Linked DNA regions of Sus scrofa. The protein of the gene in region 2 interacts with the protein of the main gene of each other region in a pairwise test. Links are inferred from orthologs where the notes say so. Each region holds a gene or a part of one and is shown on either strand. Other genes may lie near its edges.

The links.
Region 1: the proteins of SDCBP (region 2) and ABI2 interact in binary tests that used the Homo sapiens proteins (3 or more experiments, as listed by UniProt). The link is inferred for Sus scrofa from reciprocal best matches to the Homo sapiens genes SDCBP and ABI2.
Region 3: the proteins of SDCBP (region 2) and TMEM239 interact in binary tests that used the Homo sapiens proteins (3 or more experiments, as listed by UniProt). The two-hybrid records come from large-scale screens. The link is inferred for Sus scrofa from reciprocal best matches to the Homo sapiens genes SDCBP and TMEM239.
Region 4: the proteins of SDCBP (region 2) and DRAP1 interact in binary tests that used the Homo sapiens proteins (3 or more experiments, as listed by UniProt). The two-hybrid records come from large-scale screens. The link is inferred for Sus scrofa from reciprocal best matches to the Homo sapiens genes SDCBP and DRAP1.
Region 5: the proteins of SDCBP (region 2) and NADK interact in binary tests that used the Homo sapiens proteins (3 or more experiments, as listed by UniProt). The two-hybrid records come from large-scale screens. The link is inferred for Sus scrofa from reciprocal best matches to the Homo sapiens genes SDCBP and NADK.
Region 6: the proteins of SDCBP (region 2) and HOXA1 interact in binary tests that used the Homo sapiens proteins (3 or more experiments, as listed by UniProt). The two-hybrid records come from large-scale screens. The link is inferred for Sus scrofa from reciprocal best matches to the Homo sapiens genes SDCBP and HOXA1.
Region 7: the proteins of SDCBP (region 2) and SSNA1 interact in binary tests that used the Homo sapiens proteins (3 or more experiments, as listed by UniProt). The two-hybrid records come from large-scale screens. The link is inferred for Sus scrofa from reciprocal best matches to the Homo sapiens genes SDCBP and SSNA1.

Annotation. Positions count from the first base shown.
Region 1 is NC_010457.5:106,859,671-106,863,879, forward strand, and holds part of ABI2 (abl interactor 2), read left to right. Parts: intron 1-1,195; coding exon 1,196-1,378; intron 1,379-4,209. UniProt on the Homo sapiens protein: Regulator of actin cytoskeleton dynamics underlying cell motility and adhesion. Functions as a component of the WAVE complex, which activates actin nucleating machinery Arp2/3 to drive lamellipodia formation.
Region 2 is NC_010446.5:74,304,416-74,308,624, forward strand, and holds part of SDCBP (syntenin-1 CG9291-PB), read right to left. Parts: intron 3,314-4,209; coding exon 3,235-3,313; intron 905-3,234; coding exon 795-904; intron 1-794. UniProt on the Homo sapiens protein: Multifunctional adapter protein involved in diverse array of functions including trafficking of transmembrane proteins, neuro and immunomodulation, exosome biogenesis, and tumorigenesis.
Region 3 is NC_010459.5:32,837,230-32,840,699, reverse strand, and holds TMEM239 (transmembrane protein 239), read left to right. Parts: upstream 1-1,610; coding exon 1,611-1,647; intron 1,648-1,766; coding exon 1,767-1,920; intron 1,921-2,011; coding exon 2,012-2,540; downstream 2,541-3,470. Other genes in the region: C17H20orf141 (uncharacterized protein C20orf141 homolog), read left to right, coding at 745-1,013, 1,098-1,338.
Region 4 is NC_010444.4:6,408,857-6,413,628, forward strand, and holds DRAP1 (dr1-associated corepressor), read right to left. Parts: upstream 3,080-4,772; 5' UTR 2,799-3,079; coding exon 2,757-2,798; intron 2,511-2,756; coding exon 2,438-2,510; intron 2,324-2,437; coding exon 2,230-2,323; intron 1,949-2,229; coding exon 1,621-1,948; intron 1,410-1,620; coding exon 1,321-1,409; intron 980-1,320; coding exon 874-979; 3' UTR 767-873; downstream 1-766. Other genes in the region: C2H11orf68 (UPF0696 protein C11orf68 homolog), read left to right, coding at 3,176-3,342, 4,032-4,772. UniProt on the Homo sapiens protein: The association of the DR1/DRAP1 heterodimer with TBP results in a functional repression of both activated and basal transcription of class II genes.
Region 5 is NC_010448.4:63,845,783-63,849,961, forward strand, and holds the end of NADK (NAD kinase), read right to left. Parts: intron 4,093-4,179; coding exon 3,938-4,092; intron 3,818-3,937; coding exon 3,479-3,817; intron 2,977-3,478; coding exon 2,894-2,976; intron 2,595-2,893; coding exon 2,408-2,594; 3' UTR 868-2,407; downstream 1-867.
Region 6 is NC_010460.4:45,476,245-45,480,927, forward strand, and holds HOXA1 (homeobox protein Hox-A1), read left to right. Parts: upstream 1-1,316; 5' UTR 1,317-1,415; coding exon 1,416-2,070; intron 2,071-2,551; coding exon 2,552-2,907; 3' UTR 2,908-4,062; downstream 4,063-4,683. UniProt on the Homo sapiens protein: Sequence-specific transcription factor. Regulates multiple developmental processes including brainstem, inner and outer ear, abducens nerve and cardiovascular development and morphogenesis as well as cognition and behavior.
Region 7 is NW_018084833.1:710,046-714,058, reverse strand, and holds SSNA1 (Sjoegren syndrome nuclear autoantigen 1), read left to right. Parts: upstream 1-1,556; 5' UTR 1,557-1,642; coding exon 1,643-1,694; intron 1,695-2,172; coding exon 2,173-2,372; intron 2,373-2,637; coding exon 2,638-2,745; 3' UTR 2,746-3,174; downstream 3,175-4,013. Other genes in the region: ANAPC2 (anaphase-promoting complex subunit 2), read right to left, coding at 489-1,111, 1,388-1,492. UniProt on the Homo sapiens protein: Microtubule-binding protein which stabilizes dynamic microtubules by slowing growth and shrinkage at both plus and minus ends and serves as a sensor of microtubule damage, protecting microtubules from the microtubule-severing enzyme SPAST.

The DNA.
Region 1 (4,209 bases), on a different chromosome or scaffold from region 2:
ACCCGCTTTTCTCTGAAACAAAATAATGTATGGCTATACCACCCTGAATGCACCCGATCTTATCTGAAACAGAGAAATGTACTTGTTTAATTTGAGGACTCACAGTTAAAATTTAGTTTTTAAAACATGACCCAAAAGACATTAAGGATAGGATATTACATATTTAATTTGCTTTAATAACAAATAGATAATATCTTTTTAAAAGTCATGAAAAGGAGATTTGTATTTTTCTAAATTCTTTTTTACCAATAAGATGTTTATGTCTGGATACATGTTTAGTTTCTGATTCGTGTAAATCAAAATGGAATATGGTTTTTTTTTTTTTTTTTTTGTCTTTTTGCCATTTCTTGGGCCGCTGCTGTGGCACATGGAGATTCCCAGGCTAGGGGTCGAATCGGAGCTGCAGCTGCCGGCCTACACCAGAGCCACAGCAACTCGAGATCTGAGCTGCGTCTGCAACCTACACCACAGCTCACGGCAACACTGGATCCTTAACCCACTGAGCAAGGCCAGGGATCGAACCCGTGACCTCATGGTTCCTAGTCGGATTCGTTAACCACTGAGCCATGACGAGAACTCCATACTGTTGTTTTCTGGTGTTATGTTTAATTTTGTATACTATTACAGAATGTTATGGTAAAAATAACAATATAAAAGGAGCACCTTTCTTCCAGAATAGTGGCTGTCGAGTGAAAAGGAATGATGCTTTTTTTTTTTTGCTTTTTAGTGCTGTGCCTGTGGCATATGAAGTTCCCAGACTAGGGGTTGAATCAGAGCTGTAGCTACTGGCCTACACCGCAGCCATAGCTACATGGTATCCAAGCTACATCTGTGACCTACACCACAGCTCATGGCAATGCCAGGTCCTTAACCCACTGAACAAGGCCAGGGATCAAACCTGCCTCATGGGTACTAGTTGAGTTCATTACTGCTGAGCCACAGCAGGAACTCCAAAAGGAATGCTTTTAATGAATTTTACAATCTGTACATTACCCTTAGCATCTTGAATTATTTGCTGCAAACCTAATAATCCTTAACATAAACTTCATTCTTTTTTTTTTTTTTAACACTCTCTTCTATTCTTTGGTTATTGATAAACACTTAGTATCTAACATTAAGTTCTCTAATACCATTTCTAATCCTGCCTAATGGAAGTGCCTCATTAATGCTGCCTCTTACTCCTCTTTTCCCCCAGCCCCTGCTGGCTCTGCTGGTACTCCTCCCCTTCCTGCTACTTCTGCATCTGCCCCTGCCCCTCTTGTTCCTGCAACTGTCCCTTCCTCCATTGCCCCAGACGCTGCTGCTGGGGGTGCCCAGACCCTTGCTGATGGCTTCACTTCTCCAACTCCCCCTGTTGTTTCTTCCACTCCCCCTACAGGTGAGTATGGGCTTATTCCTTGGCAGGCAGTCCAGTCCTCTGGCTCTTCTCTTACTTGGAACTTGATTTTATGATTTTTTTGTTGTGGTTTGTATTTTTTTTTAAATTGAGACTAAGGTAGTAATTAGAAAATGGCATGTGACTGAAGAATAGAATTTCCTGAGGAAATCTGCGTAAAGGTTCTTATTTTTCTGATAGAGTAGCACAAATACACAGTTTTTATTACTCAAATTTCATTTACTAGAGATTCATGAATTTAGTATGGCGCTGTCTTCTGTACAGTTTTGAGAAGTTGTCGTTAGAAGTATTCTTTGTTACAGTTAAGTCATCAACAAAAAGAAAAGTCTGTGACAATTTTAAGGTATGTTTTATAGGAAATATTTGATATAACAGTTTAAAGTATAAGTCTATTTTAACAGAATTCATTGCGTATTGTAGCAGCCTAGTAAACAAATAGACAGCGGTCTTTTTAAGAATTTCAAGTTTACTTGTACCTTAAGGTCGACTGGTGTTTTGGTGTTTTAACATTGCAACCTAAAGACTGTTTTGATGGGGAAGGAGAAAAAGGTGCAATTGCTACAGTTTATTTGCAAAGTTAATAATGATGCTGGTTTGTAAACAGTTTCTGATCTGCTGTAAAAATGTATGTGCTTGGACACACATCACCTTAGCTGGTTAATAAAGTACTTCATAATATATGTGTATTCAGCCCTACTGTTATGCCAAGATGCTTAGATTTTTTTTTTTTTTTTTTTTTTTGTCTTTTTGCCTTTTCTAGGGCTGCTCCCGTGGCATATGGAGGTTCCCAGGCTAGGGGTCAAATCAGAGCCATAGCCACCGGCCTACGCCAGAGCCACAGCAAAGTGGGATCTGAGCCGCGTCTGCGACCTACTCCACAGCTCACGGCAACACCAGATCCTTAACCCACTGAGCAAGGCCAGGGACCGAACCCACAACCTCATGGGTCCTAGTCTGATTTGTTAACCACTGCACCACAACGGGAACTCCAAGATGCTTAGATGTTTTAAAAGACATTTTAAAAGTCCGTTTTAATCCATCCATTTTGGATGGTGTTTAATGGCATAGCTTCTGTAATAGCATTTTTTAAGAAAAGCTTTTTTCAGGGGTAAATGTAAACATGAGCTGTCCTTTGATATATATACAACTCTGTTAGGTCACTCCAGCTAGTTAACTATAGAATCATGTTATGCTCCTGCATCAGTAGAATAAGGAATTCATCTTAAATCAGTTGTAGGCCCAAAAAGGACAAATCACTCTTATCTAGCATCTACATTTTAGTAATTAAATTACAACTTAATAGCAGTTGCTGGTTTCTCATCTGCACTCAAAAAATTTATTGTATGAGTGAAGAATTATAGTTTTTTTTAACAAAAAGCAAGGTAAATGCCTTATTAAAAATTTATATCAGTCCCTTTTATGTCATGTCTTCGAATCACCAAGTACTTTTTTCCTTTTTTTTATTAAAGTATAATTTCTGTAGATTAAAATTCACCCTTTCTAGTGTGCAGCTTCTGTGAGTTTTGACAAATGTATGCAATGATACTACCTCAACCACAGTCCAGACATAGAACAGTCCTATCATCCTCAGATTTCCAACATGCCCCTTTGTAATCAGTCCTTCTGTTTTCCTCTTAGGCCCTGGCAACCTCTTGATCTTTGTTTCTAAAGTTTCTGCCTTTGTAGAAATATCATAAATCGAAGCATGTGTGATAAAGCCTTTGGGTCTGTCTTTTTAGCACAGTGCATTTGAGATCTATCCATTGTTACATGTTTGTTCCTTTTTATTACTGAATAGTGTTCTATTGAATGGGTTTACCACAGTTTTTTTATTAATACTTTACCCAATTGAGGGAAATTTGTGTTATTTTCAGTTGTGAGTGATTATGAATAAAAGTGCCAAATATATTCATACATAGACTTGTATGTGTACATAGGTTTTCATTTTGTTTGGGTAAATACCTAGGAAGTAGGATTGCTGGATAATATGGGAAGTGAATGCTTAACTTTATAAGAAATTGACAAATCGTTTTCCAAAGTTGTTGTACAGTTTTGCACACTTATCAGCAGTGTGTGACTTCCACTTATTCTGCACACTTGTTAGCATGTGGTATTGTTATTCTTTACACACATATTTTTAATTTAGACATTCTAATTGGTGTATAATAGTTCCTTGTGGTTTTGTGGACATTTCCCCAATGAATAATGATGTAGAACATCTTTTCATGTGTTTATTTGCCATCTGTTTATATTTGATGAAACGTCTGTTAAATGTTTTTGCTTCCCCCCACATACCTTTTGAATAGGGTTGTTTGTTTTCTTATTGAATTCTTTCACATTCTGAATTAGTCTTTAATTGATTATGCAAATAATAAAATTATTTGCAAATATTTTCTTCCATTTTGTGACTTTTCATTCTCTTAATGGTGTCTTTTAAAGAGCAAAAATTCTTTGATTATTCCCAATTCATTGCTTTTTTTCCCTTTAGATTGTACTTTTGGTGTCAAATTTACAAACTTTTTGTTTTATAGATGTCAAAAATATTTTCTTGTTTTCTTTTAGTAGTTTTTAGTTTTAGGTTTTTATCATTAGGTCTATGGTAATTAAACTGTAGTTTTGGTTTTTTTTGACTCAAAGCAAAATAAATGCCTTATTAATGGTATGAATAGAGTTTTTGTTTTTATTAAAGTATAGTTGATGTACAACATTGTGCCAATTTCTGCTGTACAGCAAAGTGACCCAGTCATTTGTATATATACATTCCCTTCCTTATATTATCGTCTATCATGGTCTATCCCAAGAAACTTGATATA
Region 2 (4,209 bases):
AAATCAGACCTCCAAACCCCTCCGAGGTGACAGTACCCACAGCAGTGTCCCCTCCTCTGAGGCCCGGCTCACACCCTGAAACTCTAACCTCTGACCTGTCGTCAGAGAAACAGCTACTTTCTGCAGAGACATCTGTGTTCCATTTTTGTTTTAAATATTTACTATGATTTCTATTGTCCCAACTGGGCCCTGACTGATGTAAGCAAGTCTTCCATAAATTATTTGGTGAATAAATAAAGGCAGGTACTGTATCCAGCACTAGGATCATGGTGCATAGGCGTGGACCCTGTTGTCAGGAAGTTAAGTATTTCACTACAAGTGCTGTGGCCTTACAGCAATAATCTGAACAAAAGACAGACATTATATTTAAGCCAAGAATTTGGAGTCTAATTTCATGAAGCTTTAGACTTCAGAATGCTGAATCTAGGAGCAACTCAGTACTGCTGGAAAAGAGAAGTTACTAAAGGAAAAGTAAGAGTCTATTGTAATACTCTGGGTTAGAAGTACAGAAACCCTGAATAGGCGTATATATAGCAGGACTAGAATGGGAAACATGATAGAAACAGAATCACTAGGTCTCCGTAACTGGAGAATGGACTGGTCAAGGCATCTGAATCTTTAACTCCTAATAACTTAGAAAAGTAACAGCACAAAAGGAAGTAGACTATGTGAGAAGTGACATCCTGAGAAGAGGCCAACGCTAACATTATAAATCTTGGGGTTTGGCACAATGAGGAATTAGCTTCTATCTATGTGTAAAGTATGATTTTATGTAATTCAAAATTCATACATACCCCCTGAACTGGTGCTCCAGGGACCACGGCCATATTTGTACGAATTTCTTCTTCATTTAAACTCAGGCCCATGTACTGAGAGAGCTCCGGATATAGTTTAGGATAGAGATCTAATAAAAATGAATGAACAGAGAAAGGGAAAAAAAAACACTGGTTGAAAATTCAAAAACTGTTGTTATGGACTTCTACTTGTACTAAAAAATTACATTTAATTTATAAAATCTAGAATAAATTTAAATTAGCTACTTGGAAAATTCCACTCTATCTCTGTAATGACAATTAGAAATGGATAAAACAGAAAAAGTTACAGGTGAAAGTAAAATATGAAGACATTTGAACTGAAACCTCAGATTTCTAAGTACTCAAGAGTAAAAATAATTTTTCTAATTATCTTCCCTCTCCTTTTTTTTAAGCCTAGTTGATTAGGAATTTTGTAAAGATACCACTGATTCTCCAATTAAGAAGAAGTGACCAGGAGTTCCCATCCTGGCACAGCGGAAAGTAATGAGGAACCATGAGGTCGCGGGTTCAATCCCTGGCCTCTCTCAGTGGGTTAAGGATCCAGTGTTGCTGTGAGCTGTGGTGTAGGTCACAGACATGGCTCGGATATGGCATTGCTGTGGTGTAGGCCGGAAGCTACAACTCCAATTAGACCCCTAGCCTGAGAACCTCCATATGCTGCGGGTGTGGCCCTAAAAAGACAAAAAAAAAAAAAAAAAAAAAAAAAAAAGAACTGACCAAAATGTATACTGTCAAGTCAGCTGCTTTATAACTAAACAGCTATAAAATTATTCTTCTGAACCCCACCAAAAAAAAATCAAAGCTTGTAAATTTATTTAGTGTCATATCATTTTAATTGTTAACTAATGATGGAGTTCCAGTTGTGGCTCGGTGGTTAACAAACCCGACTAATATCCATGAGGACTTGGGTTCGATCCCTGGCCTTGCTCTGTGGGTTAAGGATCTGGCATTGCAGTGAGCTGTGGTGTAGCTAAGAGTCATGGCCTGGATCTGGTGTTGCTCTGGCTATGGTGTACGCCAGCAGCTGCAGCTCAAATTTGGGAACTTCCATATGCCAAGACTGCTGCCCTAAAAAGATGACAAAAAAAAAAAAAAGTTAACCAATGAAATCTTGGGAAACAGGACATTTAAATACTGAAGTACTGAACTGAGTGGTACAGTTAAGTACAAATATTTCCAAAAGCTCTTTTTCACATGTTTTATTTGTGACTTAAAATGGGTCTTCTATATTTTGGTTTGTGTTTTTTTGTGCCTATGGCATGCAGAAATTCAGACCACACCATGGCACCGACAATGCTTAATGGCTAGGCGACCAGGGAACTCCCCAAAATGGATTTTCTAAAAGGAACAATGTTATAACAGGTCACAAAAACCTATTTAACACTCCTTTTGTATCTTTAGGTCATGTTATTTAAGGGTTCTGTCCTGAATCCCTATGAGCGCAGAAGGAAAAGGGATCAAAGAGAAGGATATGGAGCCTGAGTAGATCCCAGGATTCAGGAAGTGCCCTCAAAAGGAGGCGGCTGGAATTTTCAACCCTGCCCCCACCCTCCACAAGTCCTGAAGAGACAGAGGACAGTTAGGAAAGTTCAGTTTTTTCACAAATGAATCACTCCTAGGTTAAGGACTTATGTATGAGCACTGAGACTTAAGTAACTTAATTTTGATTAAGCCCTAAAACACACCTTCATACTCAATTTTTTTTTTTTTTTTTGGTCTTTTTGCCATTTCTTGGGCCACTCCCAGGGCATATGGAGGTTCCCAGGCTAGGGATCAAATCGGAGCTGTAGCCACCAGCCTATGCCAGAGCCACAGCAACTCGGGATCCGAGCCGCGTCTGTGACCCACACCACAGCTCACGGCAACGCCAGATCCTTAACCCACTGAGCAAGGTCAGGGATCAAACCCACAACCTCATGGTTCCCAGTTGGATTCGTTAACCACTGCGCCACAACGGGAACTCCCATACTCATCACTTCTTGATTAAAGAATTATTTTTTGGAAGAAAAATTTCCTACTACTAGAGGAAATTATTTTTTTGGCTTTTTAAGGCGACACCCACAGCACATGGAGGTTCCCAGGGTAGGGGTCCAATCAGAGCTACAGCTGCCGGCCTACACGACAGCCACAGCAACACAGGATCCAAGCCATGGTGGCAACCTACACCACAGCTCACAGCAATGTCAGATCCTTAACCCACTGAGCAAGGCCAGGGATTGAACTTGCAGCTTCATGGTTCCTAGTCGGATTGTTTCTGCTGCACCATGACAGGAACTCCCCTATTACCAGGTTTTAACCACCAATTTCATGAGGCATGTTAAAAAAAAAAAAAAAATCTTGCAATCCCTCTTTCAGCAAAAGAAGGCTTAGTTAACAAGTTATCTCTGTTTAAGGAGAATGAACCAAAGTGTAAACCTACTTCCATCTTGAGAGACAGGAACAGAAGCTTCAGACAAAATTGCTGGGTTGGCAGGGTTTGCAGAAAAAGCAGTTTGAGCCTGAAAAAGAAGACAATTCTAACAATTCTATAAACATACTTAAACTTCTTATATAAATTCTTATGTAATTTATAAGTTAAATCCAGTAAATCCAAAAAGAAACTAAAACACTATTTTTAATCAAGTCTTTTTTTTTTTTTTTTTTTTTGCTTTTTTAGGGCCATACCCACAGCATATGGAAGTTCCCAAATTGGAATCGCAGCTGCCAGCCTTCGCCACAGCCATAGTAACGCAGGATCCAAACTGCATTTGAGATCTACACCACAGTTCATAGCAATGCTGGATCCTTAACCCACTGAGCAAGGCAAGGGATCAAACCCACATCCTCATGGATACTAGTCAGATTCGTTACGAATGAGCCACAATGGGAACTCCCAAGAAATTTTAACTTCAAATTTCCAGCAATATATTTTCAAAGAAAATCACAAATCAAAAATATATTTCATATTATAAATATTAAATGCTATCCTAGTTCCCATTGTGGGGCAGTGGAAACGAATCGATCCCTGGCCATGCTCAGTGGGTTAAGGATCCGGCATTGCCAAGAGCTGTGGTGTAGGTCTCAGACAAGGCTCGCATCTGGCGTTGCTATGGCTGTGGCATAGGCTGTGGCATAGGTTCCCCTAGCCTGGGAACCTCCACATGTGGCAGGTGCGGCCCTAAAAAGCCAAAAACAAAACAAAACAAAACAAAAAATGCTATGCTATAAAACTTGACTAACCACATTTTTTATAATCAATATTTCATAGTGCTACTGCAAATTAATATTTTCAAAATGCATTATAGAATGGTTACACATTTTACATTTTTATTATTCTTTTGCTAATAAGTCTAGGTAAAAATATCTTATTTACGTAAGAAAAAAAGCTCGATCATATTCCTATGAAAAGTCATCT
Region 3 (3,470 bases), on a different chromosome or scaffold from region 2:
CTCCCGCAAACCACAGTGCTTCAAACGTCTAAAGAGGCCCCTCCTGTCAACCCCACCCCACCCCCTCTGGCCCATTTACCAGGTCATATGGGAACCCTGCCCCAGAAAGCCTCAGGTTGCTTCCTGGCAGAGTCTATCTCTGCATTCCAGGACTGCAGTTCTGAAAAATCCCCCACAAGAGCCCACTGGCATCATCCTACTCTCTGGGGAGAGAGCTGGGGACAGACTGATTGAGTCACTTGCCCCTGGACACACAGCCCAGGAAGCTCATAAGGCAAAGAAAGCAGCCCTTCCTCCCTTGGAGAGCTGCCCATACAGTGATGGGGTTAGAATGTCTTCCCAGCAACACAGATCCCCACGGGAGGGCCCTAGAGTGGACGATTAGCAAAGGCAAGAGGATGAGTCTTTAGTTCTCCAAAGTCAGGCTTCCTCCTATCAAGCCACAGCAGCTACTTAGGAGGCCAGAGCCAGCAGCAGCCCCCTCCCTACCCCAGGGCCCCCCAGGCAATAAGTCACAATGCTCCGGCTACCCAGCCCCCCAGAATGGCTGACCCAAGTGGGAGGAGATGAGGAGGGTTTGGTGGGTGGGTGTGTGGGGAGGAGGAGATTCCCGAGAAGCCCAGCTCTCCACTGCTTGAGCTCACCCTTGAGTGTCCGCCAGGGCCCCCCATCGCCCTCCCCCATGGTCTCATCCCCCAGATTCCTACCCTTCCCCATTCCTTGCTGTAACTGCCAGCTCCCTCCATGACCCAGCTCTGCTCATCCAGGCCCAAGGGCCCTGCTTATTCTATCCCAGGCCTTCCCAGGGGCCTGGGTGCTGGGGAAGGATCGGGTAGCCCAGTGGGTCCATGTGTGTCTCCTGGGGGCCCTAGCCCAGCCCAGCTCCTGGACAGTGTCCTAGGGCTGGGGGCACTGGGGCTGACAATTTGGGCCGTCTTTTCCACAACTGGCCCAGCCTCACTGCTGCTGCTGCTGCTACTCGTCAGCTTCCTGGCCTTCGATCTGCTCCACCGGTAAGTGCACAGCAGCTTAGCAGGCGGGCAGGTGCACAAGTGGTCAACCTCCCAAAGCCCAGCTGCCACCCTTTCTCGCCACAGGCCTGCAGGTCCCACCTGGCCACAGCACACACATCCACGTCTCACAGGGGGCCAGAGTCAGGGCGCCGGCGAGGGTCCGGGACAAGTGGAGGCTCTACTCCTGCCCACGGTGGGCACAGGACAACTCGCCCTCCAGGAGGCTCTGCTGATGCTGCTCTTGGGCCTGGGGCTCCTCCTGGGAGCCCGTGGCATGCCCTTGACCCTGCTAGCCCTGGCTTTCTGTCTCCATCCTTGGGCTTGAGTGTCCTCCAGAAATACACTGGCCATGCTATTTCCTCAGGCCTTCTTTCCTCCACCCTGGGCTGGGCAGATGGAAGGATACTCTTTCTCCTCCAGCCTGAACCCCAGGGGAACCTCTGCTCCCACAATAGGGACAGTGGATACCTAGGTCTGAGTCCGAGGACATCGGCCAAAACCGAGATAAAGGACAAGGAGCCCAGAGGAGGATGTGGTAGCCATCTCAGAGCCCGTAGGTTGGGGTGGCTAGTCTGGCCTCCTGGGTGGTTCTAGAGAATGAGGGTCCAGAGAGAAAGACTTGCAAGAGAGCAGAGTGGGACTGGATATCAGCCAGCAGGGAAGGGATGAGGGGATCCGGAGAGGGCTTCCCACAAGGAAGCATGAGAAACTCCCCTGCCAGTCCAGAGAGTCCATGAGAGAGGCTCAGGTAAGGCTCATGCTCACACCCTCTCTTGGCTGGACCCCACCCCAGCCCGGGTCACAATGGGGCTCCTCTGGGGAGGGTGAGGGGAGTGAGAGTGGGAGCTCAACTCTGGCTGCCAGGCCGTCCTGGGCGCTGCAAGAAGCAACATGACTTAGGTGGCTCTGCCAGGAGGTAAGACCCAGGCCCCAGCTCCAAGCCCCACCCCACCCATGCTGGTACCCTCCTGACCCCTGCTACCACCCCCACCCACCCATCCTGAGGTCCCAGGCATCTCCAGGGCTGCTCCTGCAGCTGGCCTGGCCCTCTCCCCAGGTGCACCAGCCGTGATGCAGCAGCTGCGAGTGGAGACAGATGCCACCGGAGCCGGTGAGGGGCCACAGCGTGCTGTGCCCTGGACGGCCTGGCTCACACGGGACAGCTGGGTGCGCTGGTGCATGTGCCACATGCCCCCGAGCTGGGCCCAGTGGTGGATCACATCGGGCTGGCGGCAGCCGCTGCAGCGTGTGCTGTGGGGTCTGGAAGGGATCCTCTACCTGCTGCTGGCGCTGATGCTCTGCCATGCACTCTTCACCACCGGCTCCCACCTACTGAGCTCCCTGTGGCCCGTGGTGGCTGCAGCGTGGCGCCATCTGCTGCCGGCTGTCCTGCTGCTGGCGCTCAGTGCCCTCCCCGCCCTGCTCTTCATGGCCTCCTTCCTGCTGCTGTTCTCCACGCTGCTGAGCCTCGTGGGCCTCCTCACCTCCATGTCTCACCCAGGCCTTGCTCAGGACTTGGACCAATAGAAGGGCGACCCCATCCTGCTGCCTGTGTCTGTTGAGCCCTGGCCTAGGGCCCGAGGCCCAGGGGAGAGGGAGGGCAGTGGGACCAGGGCCTTCCTGCCTCGGCAGGCTCCAGACCTTCAGTCCCTAGCTGGGGCTGGTCAGGGCCTGCTGGCAGGGTAGGGGCATCTCTCTCAAGCTGATCCTCCAGGTACTTGGTATGGGGGGCCAGGGCATAGGGCAGAAGGCTGAGCTGGGAGCAGAGCTAGGCCAGGCCACCCAAAGCTCCCACGTGCATGTGGTGACACCCCTGGGACACCCTTAGCAGCTGGCAGCATCTTTTCCTTGCAGCTGCTCAACTGTCTCCGCTTCGAGCTCACAGAGAACATCTACCTGGGTGCCCCTGGACTTGTCATTCACCCCGCCAAGCCCGTCTTTCCCCTTCCCCAGGCTCTAGAAAGAGCCCAGTGACAGAAACTTGGCTGGGAGAGGGCCGGCCAGAAGCCACATGAGACCTCAGCCAAGCCTCCTCCCAGATTTTCTGCCCATCCATTCCCCACTCCCTAGACTTCCTACCTCCTGCCTCAGTCTACATCCTCAAGTCTGGGAAATGGGCCAACAAGGGTCATGAGGTTCCCAGAGAGCACCTACGGCTTAAGACTCCCTAGGTTTGCTAGGGAAAAACAAGTCCCATTTCACCCACCTACGCAATGTGTGGCCTTCGCCAATTAATTCTTTTGAGCCTTGGTATAAAGTGGGTCCTGTCATGGAGCTGTTGTGAGTCAAAGGCAATAATACCAATGTGTGAAGGACTTTGTATAAAGGCCAACAAGCCAGAAGATAAGAAACTCTAAAGAGCAGAAAGCTTCTCCAGGGCTTCAGAGAAATGTTCTGGCATAGATACAGTTTGGACCATACAATGGTAAACAGAGGATGGATGGGTGTGAACAAGAG
Region 4 (4,772 bases), on a different chromosome or scaffold from region 2:
TGCTCACACACCTGTCTCCAGCCCTGCCACCCAAGTGCCACTCCAAACCCCGCCTCAGTGGGCTCACAGCGCCCCAAATTCATCACAGCGGACCCTGTGATCTTCCTAACCCTCTTCTCCCCCGTCTCCTGGGTAGAGGAGAACCCCCACCCCCACCCCCACCCCCACCCCCACGCGAAGACACCCGAGTCCTTGAGGAGCCCCTTCCATCAGCACTCACGTCTGTGGGCAACCCGGACCTCTAGGCTGCCCATCGCTGCCCTGGCCTCTCCAGGCCGCTGCTCCCTGAACACAACACATCCGCCTCATCGGCCTCGTATGCATAGCTCCAGGGTCTGCTCAGGGCCCCTGGGGGCTCACAAGCCGGCCTTCCAGGTCCCCCATGACCTCACCTACCTCTGCTCCCGCTGCCCTTCCCACATGCCCTTCAAGGGCACTGGCTCCAGCTCTAGTTTTCAAGAGCTGTCTCTGTCACCTGTCCCATCTGTCTCTCTGCAGCAGCCCAGAGGGGGCAGAATGGTCTCCCTCAGAGAGACAAGAACAGGCTACTCAGAGTAGGAACCCGCCCAGGGTCACAGGGCACAACAAGACAGGCTGTCTCCCGGCATGACTGGCACCTGCCGGCTCAGGCCCTCCAGCACTCTGCCCACCTTCCCGCCATCAGCACCCCGGGCCCGGCCCCCTTCAGTCAGCTGCTGCCCAGCCGCCCTGGCCCTGGCTCAGTGTGGGGAAGGAGGCCATTAGGCCCTGGACAAGAGCTGGGACGGATACTGGAATTCCCTTTTATTTTTTTTTTTAATAAATTTAAGAACAGCTCTACCCTCTTCCCCCCAGAGCAGCTAAAAGGGGGTGTGGCCTGGGGGGCAGAGGGCGCTAGGAGTCATAATCTTCTTCGTCCTCTGCGTCAGGTGCTGCGGGGACCTGGGGCGCTGGGGGCAGAGGCAGAGTCGAGGTGAAGGGCGTGAAGGGTGTCGGGGGGCTGCAGGGCAGAAAGTGGGAAAGGAAGATCAGGCCACTCACCTGTGCCCAGTCCTGCCCGCTGAGCCCCACCCGGTCCTCCAGCCAGGCAGGCCTGGAGCCCACTGCCCTCTACCAGCAGGGAGCCGAGCCCAGAGAAGGGAAGGACCCAGGGCACACAGCCCTGCCCGGGGGAGGGGACTTTCTGAGAGCACAGAACCCAGCCGTTAAGTCCTCTTCAGTTCCTCCCGTCCCGTCTCCCAAATCTGCCACAACCAACAGAACCAAGGCGCCTGAGCGGTCAGAAAGGACAAGGCAGCTGGGGACCAGCTGGCCCCCTCTGGGTGCCACCGACCTGCTTACCTCTGAAAGTGGGCAGGGGGCTGGCTGGCCTGGGATGGGGCCTGTGATGTCTCCTCTTCCCCATCAGTATCTGTATCCTCAGACTCATCCTGGGAACAAGACAGGAATCAGAGGCGACAAGAAAGGCGTGGGCCCATTACTGGAAAGCCGGACCTCTGCAGCCGCCATGTGCAAGGCAACCAACACAAAGAGGTCACAGGTGAGGATGGGACCAGGCCTCCAGCCAGCTGGGCCTGGCCTGATGCAAGGCTGCCCTCTCCACCCTGCAAGGCAGGACAGAGGGCTGGGGCCTCAGCTCACCTCCTGCTCCGAGTCTGTCCCCGACAGCTTCTTGTCCTTGCCTTTGCTTCCCATGCCACCGTTCTTCCGGCTGCCGCCGCCTGGCTTCCGGCCCCTTCGGGAAGGTGGAGTCCATCTGCCCAGAGGTCTCCCCACTCCTCTGCCATCCCCCAAGACACCTCCAACCCCGGGGGCCTTGGCCTTCCCCACATGGACACTGACTCCCCACCTGCGAGGACCCTTGTCCCCGTCCATGTGGTTGTCTTCCCCATCTCCCTGCATGTCAGGCACAGAGGCCACCAGATCCTTTAAGAAGTCAAACTGCTGCTCCAGCTCAATGCACTGCTTCCTGGAAGAGGTGGGGAGGGAATGGCACTCAGGTGAGGCACAGATGTCTGTACTCTCAGCAAAGTGCTCTCTGGATGTCAGGGGAACAGAGCCTGGATCGTTTCAATCCCAGCCATGCCCCCTTTCTTAGAATACCCAGTCCCTGCCAACTCAAACCTACCAGCCTTTGAGTCCTCGCCCAGCCGCCTCCCACCTCCCTCCCTATCAGGGCACAGCCTCCCCTAAGCGTGTGGACTCCGGGCGGAGGCCCCACACGAGCCCTCCCAGATCGGAGCCACTCACAGGTGGGATGTGGTCATGGTCTTGGCATTTCTAGACTGGGTCACTTGGCAGGCCTTCTTCAGCAGTGACTCCAGGAAAAGCTCGAGCGCCCGAGCTGAGGGTCGTCAAGGCGAACGCGGGTTCTAACAATGTCCTGGCCCCCAAAAAGCGACCCGGGGCTGCCGGCCTCCCCCGCCTCCCTCAACCCAGCCAGCCCTCGACAGGATACAGATGATGACAGGCACAGCTGCCGCCACCTTCCCAATCTCTTCATCCGTCTGCATTATCTTCTTGATGCGTGCCTGAGGAAGGGGCAGAGAGCTCGGACCCCGTCGCCGCGGCCCCCGAAAGGGTGCGCGGGGCGGGGGGCAGAGAGAGGGAGCATCCCGGGAGGAAGGGGGCGGGGGGCACCGACGCGGAGAGGGCACGGAAGGGGGCGGGGCGTCCGGGCCCCCGAACGGCGCGATGCGCCCGCCTCCCTGGCCGGGCCTGGGCCGGAGCCTCCCGAGAGCCCGGCTCGTTCCTCCCGAGGCCGGCCACGTGCTCACCGGCGGGAACCGCGCGTTGTACTTCTTCTTCTTGCTCGGCATCTCGGGGCCTCTCTCGCCGCGCCGGGCCCAGCGCCGCCGCCCGCAGCCTCCCGGCCCCCGGGCCTGCTCGTCGCCCGCCCGCCGCGGTTCCCCCGGGTCCTGGTGCCGCCTCCTCCGCCCCCGCCACTCCCCCCACAGGGTCCTAGCGCCGCCGGTCAGCACTCGGCCGGCGGGGCCCGAGCGCCCTCCCCTCACAGCCTCCCGCCCGGTGCGCGTCTGTCCGGGACTGGACGGCCGCGACCGCCCGCCCCCAAGACCTGAAGAGCGAACGTTAGCTCCGCCCCCCGCAGGCCCGCCCCGCCTCGCGTTCCCAATGGCCCCGCCCCCGGGGTCAGCACCGCCCCGACGGCCCTGCCCCTTCCCCCCGGTCCCGCCCTATGCTGCGCTTGTCTATAAAGTTGTTGTTGAGGCGGCGGGGCAATAAGATGGCGGCGGCGGCTGCAGCCGTGGCGGGGGCGGGGCGCGGCGGCGGCGGCGCGGAGCCCCGGCAGGAGCGGAGCCGGGCCCGGGGCTGGGCCGGCGCCGAGCGCAGCGAAGGCCGGAGGTGACGCCCGGGCGGCGGGAGGGGGCAGGGCGGGGCGGGGCAGGGGCGCTGCTCGGGCCGTGAGCACTAATGGCGGCGGGCGCGGCGGGCGCGGCGGGGCGGGAGGCTGGCCCTCCCGCAGGCTCTAACAAGCCTGGGTTCGAGTCCGGGCTCGGCCCGTTGGCCTCGGATTGGTCACTGCCCTCTCTGGCCTGCATGTCTTCGTCTTTAAGTAGGCGGGATAACGCCCGCCTGGAGGCCTGGCCCTGTGGGGCCTGTCGGGGTGCCTCGTTCCATTACATCCCAGCGCCCGGGAGACCCGCCTGCCTTGGCAGCGTCGGGAGCCGCAGCTGGGCCGGCGGCCCCCACACCCGAGTTCACTTTTCGGCCCTTTCACGCACTGCAGGTGTGACCTTGGGTAAGCCCCCTCCTCTGTGAGCTTCAGTTTCCTACTCTGTAGGTCAAGGATAGTAGTGATAATAGTAACAGCATTTATATAGTTCTTGTTCCACCTCCTAGTATTTAATTCTCTACAGCTGTTTGAGACGGGAGCAGCTATTTTTCATTGTACAGATGAGGCAACTGAGGCACAGAGACATTAAGTTTTGCCCAAGGCCGCAGGGATTAGTTCAGTGCCTGGCACCTACGTGCTCAGGCCCAGGAAGCTGGATCTGTCCTGGACCTGCCCTAACTTGGTTCCCACCCGGCAGGATGGAACCAGGCGAGGAGCTGGAGGATGAAGATTCTCCAGGTGGTCGTGAAGATGGCTTCACTGCTGAGCACCTGGCCGCAGAGGCCATGGCAGCTGACATGGACCCCTGGCTGGTGTTTGATGCCCGAACCACACCTGCCACGGAGCTGGATGCCTGGTTGGCCAAGTACCCACCATCCCAGGTTACCCGCTATGGGGACCCTGGCTCTCCCAACTCTGAGCCCGTGGGCTGGATTGCAGCATATGGGCAGGGCTATGTCCCCAACTCAGGCGACGTGCAGGGCCTGCAGGCAGCCTGGGAGGCTCTGCAGACCAGCGGGCGCCCCGTCACACCAGGTACCCTGCGCCAGCTGGCCATCACCCACCACGTGCTCTCGGGCAAATGGCTGATACACCTGGCACCTGGCTTCAAGCTGGATCACGCCTGGGCTGGCATTGCTCGAGCCGTGGTCGAGGGCCGGCTTCAGGTAGCCAAGGTGAGCCCACGGGCCAAGGAGGGTGGGCGGCAGGTCATCTGTGTTTATACGGACGACTTCACGGACCGCTTGGGTGTACTGGAGGCAGATGCCGCCATCCGCGCGGCAGGCATTAAGTGTCTGCTCACCTACAAGCCTGACGTCTACACCTACCTGGGTATCTACCGGGCCAACCGCTGGCACCTCTGCCCCACTCTCTATGAGAGCCGTTTCCAGCTGGGAGGCAGCGCCCGTGGCTCCCGGGTGCTGGACCGCGCCAACAA
Region 5 (4,179 bases), on a different chromosome or scaffold from region 2:
TAAGGCCACTGCCCTGAAGACTGGAAGCTTCGAGGGGCCTGCAGCTGCAGCCCACAGAAATGCCCTGCTGGCCTGGTCGGGCGACATCTTGGGGCCTGTGCTATGGCCTCTGTGCCCCAGCTCTCTGTCCCCTCTGACGCACTCCCAAAGCCTGGAGGGGCGAGGTTGGGCAATGCCTTTTCCCTCTGGCCCGGAGATTAGCTGGCCGGCCGGATCCAGCCCTTAAGTAGGCGCTGTTCCCGGACGCAAGGAGGCCCAGCCAGCCTGGGATGGCACACAGCCGGCTTATGTGCGGAGAGCCTCAGGCCCAAGTGCCTTCTGCCACCTGCCCGGGCAATGACCGCAGACACCCTGCTTCCTAGCAGACCTGCCGGCCGCCAAGGCCCACAGTGGAGGGGACAGCACTCATGGCCACTGAGACGCCTGGCAGGAAGTCCCCCCCAGATGCCTGGATGGGAAGGGCTTATCAGGCATGGCTGTCTCCCGCAGGGGCAGGGCCTGCACTCAGCCCCCGCCAGCCCCAGACGGCCACTTATGTCTGAGCTACGGGTGGCCTCTCAGCAGTGCGCACGGGCTGGTCGCCATTTCTCCCGGGCTCCTGCCCAAAGGGCTGTGTCCACAGCATCTGGTCTGGCTCCCAGCAGAGCCTTCGTCACGTCCACCCAGGCCTGAGCAAGGAGTCCCGGGAACCAGGAGGGGGAGGCAGGAGCTCCAGGCTGGGCCATGTCCCTGGTGGAGCAGGACCCATGCCCCAGGACACGTGCCCAGGGCAGGCTCCGCCAGCTGGGACCTGAGGCCCTGGCCCATTCGCCTCAGCATCCTGGGGTTGGTTACGAAGAACCAAATAAAGTTATCATTCAACCCAACTTTTAAAACAAGTCTGTTTATTGAAAGGATCCGAAAATAGTAATAAGGCTTTCAACATTTAACAAATTTCCCAGTTATTAACAATATGAAACATTAAGAATTTACTTCAAAAAACCCAAAGTTCCGCAGGTCACTGTGCGTCATGCTTTAGGACTTGGTCAACACGGGCTGTCTGAATGAGTGACCTGAGTGCCGAGCCTAACGCTGCCAGTGGGGCTCCCTCAGGCCACTGGCTGTGCCGGGGGCTTGCAGGCAGGTGGCGCGAAGCGATCCCCTCCCAGCGTGGCCGGGCGCCCAGGCAGGTGCAATGGAGGCAGACAGCGGCCACGGCGCCCAGGCTGCAGAGCCAGCTCCGGAGACCTCCGGCCACAGTGGCCACACGTGTGCCCCAGGTGCCTTTTTCTCAGCCTGCGAACCCCCAGGTGGGCAAAGCACAGCCCCCCGGCCCGTCATTCCAGAAGCAGGTCCAAGAAAGGACAGGCACCCGTCCGTTCTGCTTCCGCAAGAAACGCGATTGAGAGAAAGCAGTTCTCAGACACAGACGCCACGTTCAAGATGCCCAGCGGATCGGGGCCAGGCTCCCACCAGGTGCCACACAGCTCTGGCATCCGGCAGCTGGTGATGGCGCACGAGGGCTGAATGTGAGGGTCCCTCCCGAGCCCACAGGGAGCAGAGCCGTGTTGACATGCGACACCCCCACCCCGTCACAACCGTGGGGCCCCCCGGTGCACGGGTCCGTCAGCCGCGGGGGCTGCAGAGTGGTCCCGGAGCACAGGACATGGGGCGAACACTGGAATGAGGCTCTGAGTGGGACGCGACCCGGCCCCGCCCCGAAAGCTCACAGTGTGCGCCGCGGTCTGCAGGCAGCACTTTGAGGAAGTGCGACAATCTCTACAAAGGAGACTCGGGATTGAAACACCTGCTCCACGAGGAATGTGTAGAATCGACCCCCCGACCCCGCCGTGGCCGGGCTGGTGCTCCGACGGCAGGGGGCGGGGGGTGAGGGGACCAGGGCTTTGGAACCAAGGCAGGAGCAACCAGGCAACTCAGGCCGACCCTGAGCCGGAGCGGGAGGGGACCCGTCTGCCTGCCAACCAAATGCCGCCTGCTCTTGGCAGAAGTGTCCCAAGTGGCATCAGGGGAAGGTGGTGGTGGCTGAAGGAAGATTTTTGCGGTGAGATGTTTATTTTTCAATAGCAAAGGATAGCTCTGTCCACGCTGCTCCCCCCTCCCAGCGTCAATCAACTGATTCACGGAGGTTTCCAGATGGGGAATTAAAGAGCTCATTAAGCTGGGGACCCTGCCGGGCCTGGGCTCCGGAGATGCTGGGTGGCTGTGCCCGAGTTGGCCTCCAAGCTCCCAGCCATCACGCTCGCTTGTTTAGAAATGCAGAAAAAACTCAGATTTGAAACGTTAAAAAGAGCTGATCTGGTCGACAAAAAAGCCAATTTCAGGCCCTCCCTCTGGCCACAGACTGACGCGGCGCCTGCCACCTGCGCTGGGCCTGTGAGACTCACAGTGTGCGTTTGGGCCAACAGGCCTAGCTCCCCGAGCCGCCCTCCTCGTCCCCGTCCCCCGCCTCGTCGCCCCCCTCGTCCTCCGGGAAGTGGGCCTGCCTCTTCCGCAGGTTCCAGTGCAGACACTGTGCCAGGCTCTCAAACCAGTCGCTCACGGGGTCTCGGACGCAGACGGAGGGGAGCGGGTAGCAGGAGGTGGTGATGCTGATGCTGCAGCGGGAGAGAGGCAGCGTCACCCTCCCGTGAGACCTTCCCGGGGAGACGCCACCCTCCCCACGGGCTGGGCCGGCTCAGCTCTGCCCACGCCCCCTGCCTGAGGCCTGGCCCCAGGGCCTCTGGTGCCCTGGAGGCAGAGGGGTGCTCCTGGACCCCCAGGGGCAGGTGCAGCTGGCAGGGCGCTGTCACCCAGGCACAGGTCTGCGACGTGATCATGTCAGAACCGGGGACAGGCCCGCAGGGCTCTCAGCCCACCAGCTCCACCTGTCCTGTTCCGGCCCGCGGCCACACACCTGTCTCCGTGGCGGATCTCCTGTCTCTTTCGTCCATCGAAGGACACCCACGCGGTATTCCTTGCTTCTGGTGACAGCATGATCTAAAGAATCAAAAGCAGGACAGGGGTACCCTATGAGAGTGAGGCCAGGAGCGTGAACCCCGCCGGGGGTGGCACCGCCCAGGGGATTCACAGGCACCCACACAGTGCCCACTACGTGCCCGGGTGAGGTAACTTGTGTCCTGTGGACACGACCCCGGGAACGGAAGGCAGGTGTCCATCAGGGCCAGGTGCCTGGCTCCGGCCCCTCCTCTCTGCCCTGCAGACCCAGCCCGCATGTCAGGGCCCAGACCAGGACAGGCTGGTCCGGGGTGGCCTGCAGTGGGGAGCAGAGCACAGAGAAGGGGTGGACATGGAAGGACAGAGGCCCTGGGGGACAAGAGGGCAGGGTCCTTCCTCACCTGCCGCCCTCACTCCACCCCCACCACTCAGGCGGAGATCCTGCCTGTGGGGCTGGCCCAGCTCTCGGCGCTGCCCCCGCCAACCAGACCCCAGGGACCAGGCCCTACCAGGGCCCCAACCAAAGAGGGTGGGAGGCTCTGACCTTCAGCTCGACCCCTGCAGGGACCACAATAGGCCGGAAGGACAGCGAGTGGGGGCAGATGGGTGTGACCATGATGGCTGGCACGTTGGGGTGAATCATGGAGGCCCCGGCGGCGGCCGCATACGCCGTGCTGCCCGTCGGGGTGGAGACGATGACGCCTGGAGAAGAGGCGCAGGGTGGCACTGGTGCGCACGGCCCCCGCCCGCGTGGAGCCCCAGGCAGGCCGGGCGCCCACCTACCATCGCCCTGCACCGTGGTGATGAGGTGCCCGTCCAGGTAGACATCCACGTTGGACAGGTACGAGGAGGGGCCTCTGTCGATCACCACCTCGTTCAGCACCTGGGGGCGAGGCCGGTGCACTCAGGGGCTGCAGTGCCGGGCGGCCCTGGGCGCTGGCAAGGTCCCGAGGGCGGGGGGGGGCACAGCCCGGGGGGCGGGGGGGGAGGGACCCGGACAGACCTGGTACTGCATGACCTGCTTCCCGAGCTCCGCGTCCAGGGCTGTGGCCAGCATTCCGTGCTCGCTGACCCCGTTGGGGACGGCCAGCTTCTTCCCGCAGAGTTCCTTCACGACCCTGACCTTCAGGCGGCTCCGCAGAACAATAGCCGCGTTGCCTGGGGGCCAGCAGGGGTCACGCCCAGGCCGGTCAGCAGGGAAGGGGGCTGTGGCGCCCACAGGAAGAGAGCCCCCCTAGCCAGAGA
Region 6 (4,683 bases), on a different chromosome or scaffold from region 2:
CACACAGCCAGTTTACAAAAGGGAGGAGGTGTTGTTGGGGAAGAAGAAAATGTCCTGTCCACCATCAGCCATCTGTCCACTGCCCCTCCCACCTGCCAGCCCCCACCCCCACTTCAGCTGTGCAGTAGAATGGGGGGGGGGTGGATGAAGGAAGCTCTAGCACGCCTAACATTCGCCTCCAGGAAACGAGAAACGTTTCTGGGGGTGGCGGGGTGGGAGGGGAGGTGGAGGGGGAGTTCATCGTACTTCACTGTGGTCTCGCCCTTTGAGGCCCAGGTCGGTGTACACAGGCTCCTGGGTCCTAGGGAGCCGGCAGATGGCCTGCAGCGCACGGCCCGGCCCCCACGCTGGCCACGTCGGCTAGCGTCATCTCTCTCCCCCGCCTCCTACCCCTCAAAATCCGGCAGCAGAGTTGCTCCGGATCCCGCAGGGCTCCCAGAACAGAGCTGAGTGGGGAGGAGAAAGGGGCGGAGAGCGAGGAGAGAGGGAGGGCGAAGAGCCGGGCCACCCCCGGCCTTTTCCGGCAAGCTTAGCTCCCAAGGTTCACCCGTTCCCGAGCATCGAATTACAGCAGCTCCCCGTTGCCACGCTAACAGCTCGTGGGGGTGGGGGAGGAACGGGGGCTTCAAGACCCTACAGGGAGAGGGAAGTTTCCTTTCTTGCGCTTGTCCCCTCCACGCCCACTCGGGTTCCCCCAGCCAGCCCTCTGCGCACTTCCCTCTCCTTCCGGAGACCTGGTGGTGGCCCAGCCTCGTCCCCCGCCACCGTTCTCGGCTCTCCTCACTGCCCCCAAGGCATCACAGAAGGGACGGCAGTGAAAGCGCCCGGGGAGCGACCCTTCCAGTTCCTCGCGTTCCGGGCTCAGCCAGTGTGCAAGTGGCGGCCCAGCGAGCTCCCTCCCACTGACTCCCGACCCAAGAGAGCGCGGAGCCCTCTTGGCGTCTCACCTCTTGCCAGTTCCTCTTTCTGTGCACGGTGGGGAGGGGGGCGGTGACCGAGGATGGCTCTCAGCCCCCACCTCCCGGAGGGGGGCGATCGGAGTCGGCCACTCGCAGAAGGCAGCCCCTGCTCCCCTTCGCCCCAACGCTGGGAATCTGCCCCTGCAGCCGCCGCAGCTGCTGCTGCCGCCCGGGCTGCCTGGGGGGGCGACTGCGCGTCACCTAGACTGAGGAGCGCCGGGGATTTAAATGCCACTGAAAGGGTGATCCATCACCGCAGGAGCCAGCAAACTTTCGCAGGAGGCTCCGCCATTGGCTGAGAGAGTCACGTGCCCCTCCCCTAGCGCCCTCCGCCCTCCCGCCCCCCCTCTTGCGCACTGTACATTCATATCATTTTTCTTCTCCGGCCCCATGGAGGAAGTGAGAAAGTTGGCACGGTCACTCAGGGCTTCGCAGGACCCGGTCACTCAGTGACAGATGGACAATGCAAGAATGAGCTCCTTCCTGGAATACCCCATCCTCAGCGGTGGCGACTCGGGGACCTGCTCAGCGCGAGCCTACCCCTCCGACCATGGAATTACAACTTTCCAGTCGTGCGCGGTCAGTGCCAATAGCTGTGGCGGCGACGACCGCTTCCTAGTGGGCAGGGGGGTGCAGATCAGCCCGCCCCACCACCACCACCACCACCACCACCATCACCACCCCCAGCCGGCCACCTACCAGACTCCTGGGAACCTGGGGGTGTCCTACTCCCACTCGAGTTGTGGTCCAAGCTACGGCGCGCAGAACTTTGGCGCGCCTTACAGCTCCTACGCGTTAAATCAGGAAGCAGAAGTAAGTGGTGGGTACCCCACGTGCGCTCCCGCTGTTTACTCTGGAAATCTCTCATCTCCCATGGTCCAGCATCACCACCACCACCAGGGTTATGCCGGGGGCGCGGTGGGCTCGCCTCAATATATTCACCACTCATATGGACAAGAGCATCAGAGCCTGGCCCTGGCCACGTATAATAACTCCTTGTCCCCTCTCCACGCCAGCCACCAAGAAGCCTGCCGCTCCCCTGCATCAGAGACGTCTTCTCCAGCGCAGACATTTGACTGGATGAAAGTCAAAAGGAACCCTCCCAAAACAGGTCAGTCTTGCCCTTCCATGAATGATCCTTGATTATTCAGGAAGGAGCCGGTATGCTTAGTTTCCAAGGAAAATTAATCAAGGTTTTGTTTTGTTTTTTTCTTTAAAATTCTTGCTTCCCACCGGTGTTGTAGGGTGTTGGGAGGCTGCCCAGGTGTGGTTGGCACAAAGGAACATCTGGGATTGTTGTGTTTCCAAGGGGGCTGAGTTTTAGAGGTTTTGGAAGTAGGACGTGGGAAAGTGGGTAGGTGTGTATGTGTGTGTTAATATCTCCAGGCTCCATTAATCACTGGTCTGACCATGCTAATGGGTGACTTCAGATGAACGCTTTACACCTCATCACTCACCCTCCCAAGCCCGGCTTGTGTTGAGAAATTCTTGATTCCCCCTTTGCCTGAATCTTGCTCTGAAGCCTACAGGGACTCTCATATCGAATATAAATTTTTTCCCCTTTTTTCCCCATCGCTTCCCCTTGCCCTCAGGGAAAGTTGGCGAGTACGGCTACGTGGGTCAGCCCAACGCGGTGCGGACCAACTTCACCACCAAGCAGCTCACGGAGCTGGAGAAGGAGTTTCACTTCAATAAGTACCTGACGCGGGCCCGCAGGGTGGAGATCGCCGCGTCCTTGCAGCTCAATGAGACCCAGGTGAAGATCTGGTTCCAGAACCGCCGAATGAAGCAGAAGAAACGAGAGAAGGAGGGCCTCTTGCCCATCTCTCCAGCCACCCCACCGGGCAGTGAGGAGAAGGCCGAGGAATCCTCCGAGAAGTCCAGCTCCTCGCCCTGCGTTCCTTCCCCGGGGTCTGCTACCTCAGACACTCTACCTACCTCCCACTGAGGCCGCCCCAGCCCCAGACTCGACTCTTCCGGCTGGGACTTCTTTCCCAAAGCACATTCTTAGCTTATCTTCCTGTCCATTTACAATCTCTCTCTTCCTCTCTGATCCTATCTGGGGAACTCCTGGCCAGGATACTGTGTTTCCAGTGAATTCTGGATTAGAGACTGGTGTGGGGGCAGGGGAGTGCTAGCTCCGCAATGCAAATTGAGTGCCAACATCAATTTTCTCAAGGCCCCTAACGCCCCTAGTTTTAGGAGATTTCTTTGACAGACCCTACAGTTCCTTTCAGATGCCCTTTGGAAAATAGTCTCCTTTGCCAGCAGAAACATGTCAGAGGGAGGCCTCTCATCTTATATCTAACCGTGTATTTACAGTTCTCCCCTACTCTGCCCTTAAAGTAGGATAGAGAGAGAAGAGAGTCCAGGAGCTCATGAGGAAGAGATGCACTATGAGCGTGTTTACACAATTAATTCACCCCTTAATTTAACTCAGTTTCATGTGTGTGAGTCTGCTGGTTGTAAATACTTTGTCCTGAAAGATTTATCTTTATACAGATTTTCTAGAAATGTTTAGATTAAGGGATGAAAATAGGGTGGGCAAACTCTCTAAGCTGGTACAACTTTGTATGTGATTATAGGTTAAAGACTAAAAGCTCCCAGTAAAATCAATCAGAGGCCTCAGAGGGTCGCCTCCGTTTGTTCTTTCAGCAAGTTAAGAAAGCCTGCAGCATAAAGGGTCAGAAACCTGGCTCCCTGGGCTGAGTCTCTCCCCATCCCCACGCCTTTCTCCTTTCTCTGGCCACACTCTTTCAAATTTGCGCTGGAGTATTCAGGACCCAAACGTATTATTTCACACCAGCTTCTTCCCTCCACAGTTATTGTAGCTGGATATGATGTATTTTTAGCTCAGTTGTTAATGTGATGGATGGCACAATGAATGTATATTTTGTGTGATTCGTGAATAGTCTTTTGCATGTCGCACAATGTCTTGATGTTCCCGAAGTACCACACTGAGTTTTATCAGTTATCCTTTGTGATAGTTCCCATTTCCTGTACAATCATGAACAGCTCCGAGATCCCAGAAGGATGTGATCCAGAGCAGAGTTTACGGGTCTTAAGATGTCTGTAATAAATATATTCAAGTTTCAGATATGCTTAAGCATCTCTGTGTCTGGCTTGGCTACAATTTGTTGGTCCCTACAAAGTTGGCTCCTTTCCTGTGGGGAAGGGGAGAAGGGTGTTGTGTATTTTCAAAGAGATGGGCCTCTTCTTGGAAAAAAAAAAAAAAGGGAAATACTTTTCATATGGAGCTGATGCTTCCCCAATGAGTGTAATTGCACCTAACCAATGTGCATGCAATAGGTTGATTCTCTTTAAAAACAGCAGCAGTTCCTTTACGATCATCAGAGTCCATCATGGAAAAAATGAATGGTGAAGAAATAGATGAAGCAGATCTATTTTTGAAACAAACATAGATACTTCCTGGGTCAAGTGCTAACCTTTTCACCTCCAACTGAATGTTGACGTATATATAAACAGAATCCCCTTCAAAGGCGAGACTCTTCAGTCAGTCTTTCCTCACATCAGTGAACCAAGAGCTAAGAGATTCACATTTAACTGGCTCCAGTATAAAGCTGTTTGGGGATGGGGCTCCCACCCAACCCCTCTTCCTCCTTTTTGGCTTGTCTGTGACAGTGTGCCAAATATTCCACCCTTTAAATCGAGTGTGGTCTGTTCTGAGTAAACCCTGGCGTCTTTCCTTCTCCGCCCCTTCCTG
Region 7 (4,013 bases), on a different chromosome or scaffold from region 2:
CCACTGAGAGCAGAGGGTCCACACGACAAGACCTGGCTGTGACACCAACAAAGTCCTCTCCTTTCAAAGGCCGCAAAAGCAACCTGTTCGCCCAGCCTGTCGGGCTCATCTCCTAACTTGTCTTAAAGACAGAAGAACAGCAAGCCCATCTTTCGCGAGTACAGGCAGGATAAACGTCATTCCCCCACCGCCACCCCGACAGGCTACAGAAGGCACAGCAGAGCGCTGTAGGGCCCAGAAAATTTGGGATCCTGTCGGTCTTAACGGAAGCAACGTGTGAAACCCTGAGCTAGTGTGAGTGACAAACACGCCTGTGACCAGGTGGAAAGGCATAAACTCCCAGCACAATGTTCCCGGAGCCCCTCCTGTGGCCATGTCCCTGACTTCCAGGACAGGTGACAGAGACCGCCCCCAGCCGGCTCGCCAGCTCTCTCCAGAGGAGCAAGCAGGAGCCAGGAGGAACAGGCAACGCAGGTGCAAGTACTCACAGGACTTGGCTGAGGTGGTGGAACTGCTCCAGCGCCTGGCGGCACCAGCACTGTTGCTTGTCACTGCCACACCCGGCGCACAGCGGGCTCTGCAGAAGGCGGTAGTACCGGCGACGGGCGTACCTGCTGTCCAACTCCCCCTCCAGTTCAGGATCTGTGCCCCCTTCCCCTTTTCTCTTACTCTGCATGTATACCCTCAAAAAGCGCCCATAGAGACGCTGGATCATCTCCTGGAAAGGTCTGGGGGTGGAAAAGAACAGGACGCCCCGCACGGTGGTGTGGACCTTTTCGCGAAGGCCCTGGGCACCAGTGCCCATGAGCAAGCCCAGGCGAGTCCACTTCTCCAGGAGCTCTAGACTCCGCAGGTAGGGATCCAGGCGGCTCTCCAGCAGACCGAAAGCATCGAGGAGCAGCAGAAGGCACTGGGGCTCGTCCGCGCAGTTCTCGCGCTGGGAGATGGTATTCCAGAACTCGAGGGCGATGCTGGCCTGCAGGTCATTCTGGAGCACCTCTACGAACCATTCCTCCAGGACCGAGTGCAGTCCGTGGCTCCTGAGAACCTCCACCGCCGCCCGGAGCTCCTCCTCCTTTGGAGGGACCGCGCCGCTGGTCCGGGAGGATGCCTGGATTACAGAAAACTGTGAGTGGAAGGAAACACCACGCAGAGATGGAGAAGACGGTTACTGGCAGGCAAAGGCGGGAAAGGCAGAGAGGAGGGGAGCCCACGGAAACGCCGCTGCGCTTCGTCGCAGGGATGCACGGCCGACTCTCGGAAAGGGCTGTCGAACCAGGAGGGAGTCTGGAGAAAAGCGGCACAGGGACCCGTAGAAACCCGAGGAGAGGCCGCGCAGGGTCCTGGGCACCCCACGCGGGCCCGCCGCCCTCTTCTCGGGCCTCACCAGTCCCAGTGCGGCCGGCGGCACCAGCCCGGTGCTCACGGTATTCCACGCTACCAGCAGCTCCTGGGCAGGCCCGGGGTCGTTCTGCTGCTCCGCCGCCGCCATCTGCGCCCACCAGCTCCCAGAGCCGCCCCGTGTGGCGCGGGGAGATGACGCAGGGCTGGGCGCGCGCGCGCGCGGCGGTGACGTAATCCGGGCCCGCCGGCAGGGATGCGGTAGCGGCGGTTGGAGCGGCCGGGACCCCGGACGGCCACCATGACCCAGCAGGGCGCGGCGCTGCAGAACTACAACAACGAGCTGGTCAAATGTGCGCGGCCGCGCGGCGGGGCTCCCTGGGCTGGCGGGGAGGGCGTGGCGTCGCCGGCCCGCAGGGCCCGGGCGGTGGTCGGCTCGCAGCGCGCGGCCGAGTGTGTTGTACAGTCCGTAAGCGGCTGTTCCTGTCCGGGCGGCGCCAGCGCCGTCGGACCTGCCCGACGCACAGCCCCGGTGTGGGGCCCGCCCCGGGCGCTTGGTATCTGTGGAGCGAGCGAAGGACAAGCGGCTTGAGCACGCACGGCCTCCCAGCCCCGCGCCGAGGGTTCTGGTGCGGTGCCTACTTTAACCCTGAGTCCCCCGGGACGTAAGACACTGGCCTGGCTCGGGCGGAAGGTGGTCCAGCCGGCAGCCGGTCCTCCGCTGCCTTTCTCTCTCCTACCGAGCAGCGGGCTTCAGAGTTGGGGGGTGGGGGGCGGTGCCTTCTTGCCTGCCCTGGGCCCACAGCCCCTGCCCCTCTCGGCCCACCCCAGGCATCGAGGAGCTGTGTCAGAAGCGGGAAGAGTTGTGTCGACAGATCCAGCAGGAGGAGGATGAGAAGCAGCGGCTGCAGAATGAAGTGAGGCAGCTGACCGAGAAGCTGGCCCGAGTCAACGAGAATCTGGCCCGAAAGATCGCCTCTCGTAACGAGTTTGATCGGACCATCGCGGAGACAGAGGCCGCCTACCTCAAGGTGGGACTTGGGGCCTGCATGTTGGGACAAGTCCCAGAAGGGCCCACCGACAGGCAGGCCGAGGGCCCACTGTGGAGTGACAGAGCAGCTGCTAGCGTGGCTTGGACGGTACTTCTTCCTGCGTAACTCCCTAAGACCAGCAGGAGCCAGAGCGACTCTGCAGGGAGCGTAGGGTAGACTCAGGAGGAAAAGGGCCCTGGCAGGGAAGGGCTGTGGGAGCTTCCCAGAGGGGGGATGGTGTAACCACTGGCGTTTCTGCTCCCAGATCCTGGAGAGCTCGCAGACTCTGCTTAGCGTTCTGAAGAGGGAAGCAGGGAACCTGACCAAGGCCACAGCTTCAGAACAGAAGAGCAGTGGAGGCAAGGATAGCTGACAAGGCCGCCGGCAGAGGGGCCCGCCTCCACCGCGCCCACCTAGGGCTTCGCCTCCAGCAAGTCTTCACGGCCTCTTTGTTCTTCACGGCAGCGGCTGCTTTCTCTCCTTGTTCTGGGTGCCGAGAGGCAGCTGCCAGCCACCACTGGCTCTGGGTGACAAGGAAGGCCTCGCTGCAGCCCACCAGCTGGGTGTCCTGGCCCTGTGCTCACACAGGTTCTGGGTCGGTCAGTTCTGCTCGGCCTCTGAGGGCCCCCCCACACCCCTGGGCTGCAGGGAAGACCCCGCTTCTAGTCTCGGCATCATGTCACCCTCACCTTATCACTTGGCCAGCAGGTGCCCAGGCAAGTGGGAAGGGGCCAGGGCCCTCCTTCACCTCAGAGCTGACCCTGGGGCCGTAACGTCAATAAAGGTTGTCTTTGTTAAGATACACGCCACCCTGCCGCCTGTGTCCTGGGTGGGGCTGCTGGCCACCCTAAGCCGGAACACAAACCCCTGCTCAGCTGTAGTGGGGCTCCTCTGTGAGCGGGCGAGGAGAGGGCCTGGCATGACTTTCCCTGTGACTGGCCTTGCTGGCCTTGGGGACCGCTAGGGGTGCCGCTAAGCATGTCCCGAGACGCTTGTCGCCCACCTTCCCCCTCAGAACTGCTGACCCCTTCCCCAAGCCCAGCACCCAGCCCAGCTTCAGGGAAGGCACTCTGGCCGTGGGCCGTGGTCTCGGCCTGGTGCAGGGAGACACTCTTCCTGGGGCCGGGTCCCCCGGCCAGGGATGCAGCCCAGCTCTGACTGCTGACTGCCCCACCCTCCCTGGTCACACTGCCTGGGGCCCAGCTCTCATCCCGAGTCCCCTCCGGGTCCCTCTCTCTTCACCTGTCTGTCCCTTTGGGGGTGGGGTGGAGGTTGGAGGTTGGGAAGCACGTGTTGTTGACCGAGTCTGGAGAAAGCTGGGCCCGCCGCTCCCAGGAAAGTGCCTTCCTCCAGCCCAGGCCTGGCCGGGGCGTCTCCCAGATGTGTCTCTCCAGGAGGAAAAGCCCTGCATTGGCTGCTGCACCGGGGTGGCCTGGCTCCCCAGGGCGGCCATCCTGCTCCCTGGGGGCAGTTCCATCCGCCACCTCTCTAAACCCATCGATTTCCCTGCTGGCCCCGCCCCAGGGGAGTGGTCTGCCTGTGGCGCAGGGACCCTTCCAGTCCAAGCAGAAGCCAAGGCCCTCTGAGCTCTGCCTACCCCAGGCTCCTGTCCCCTCAGGGAAACTGCCAGAGCCCCAGCCC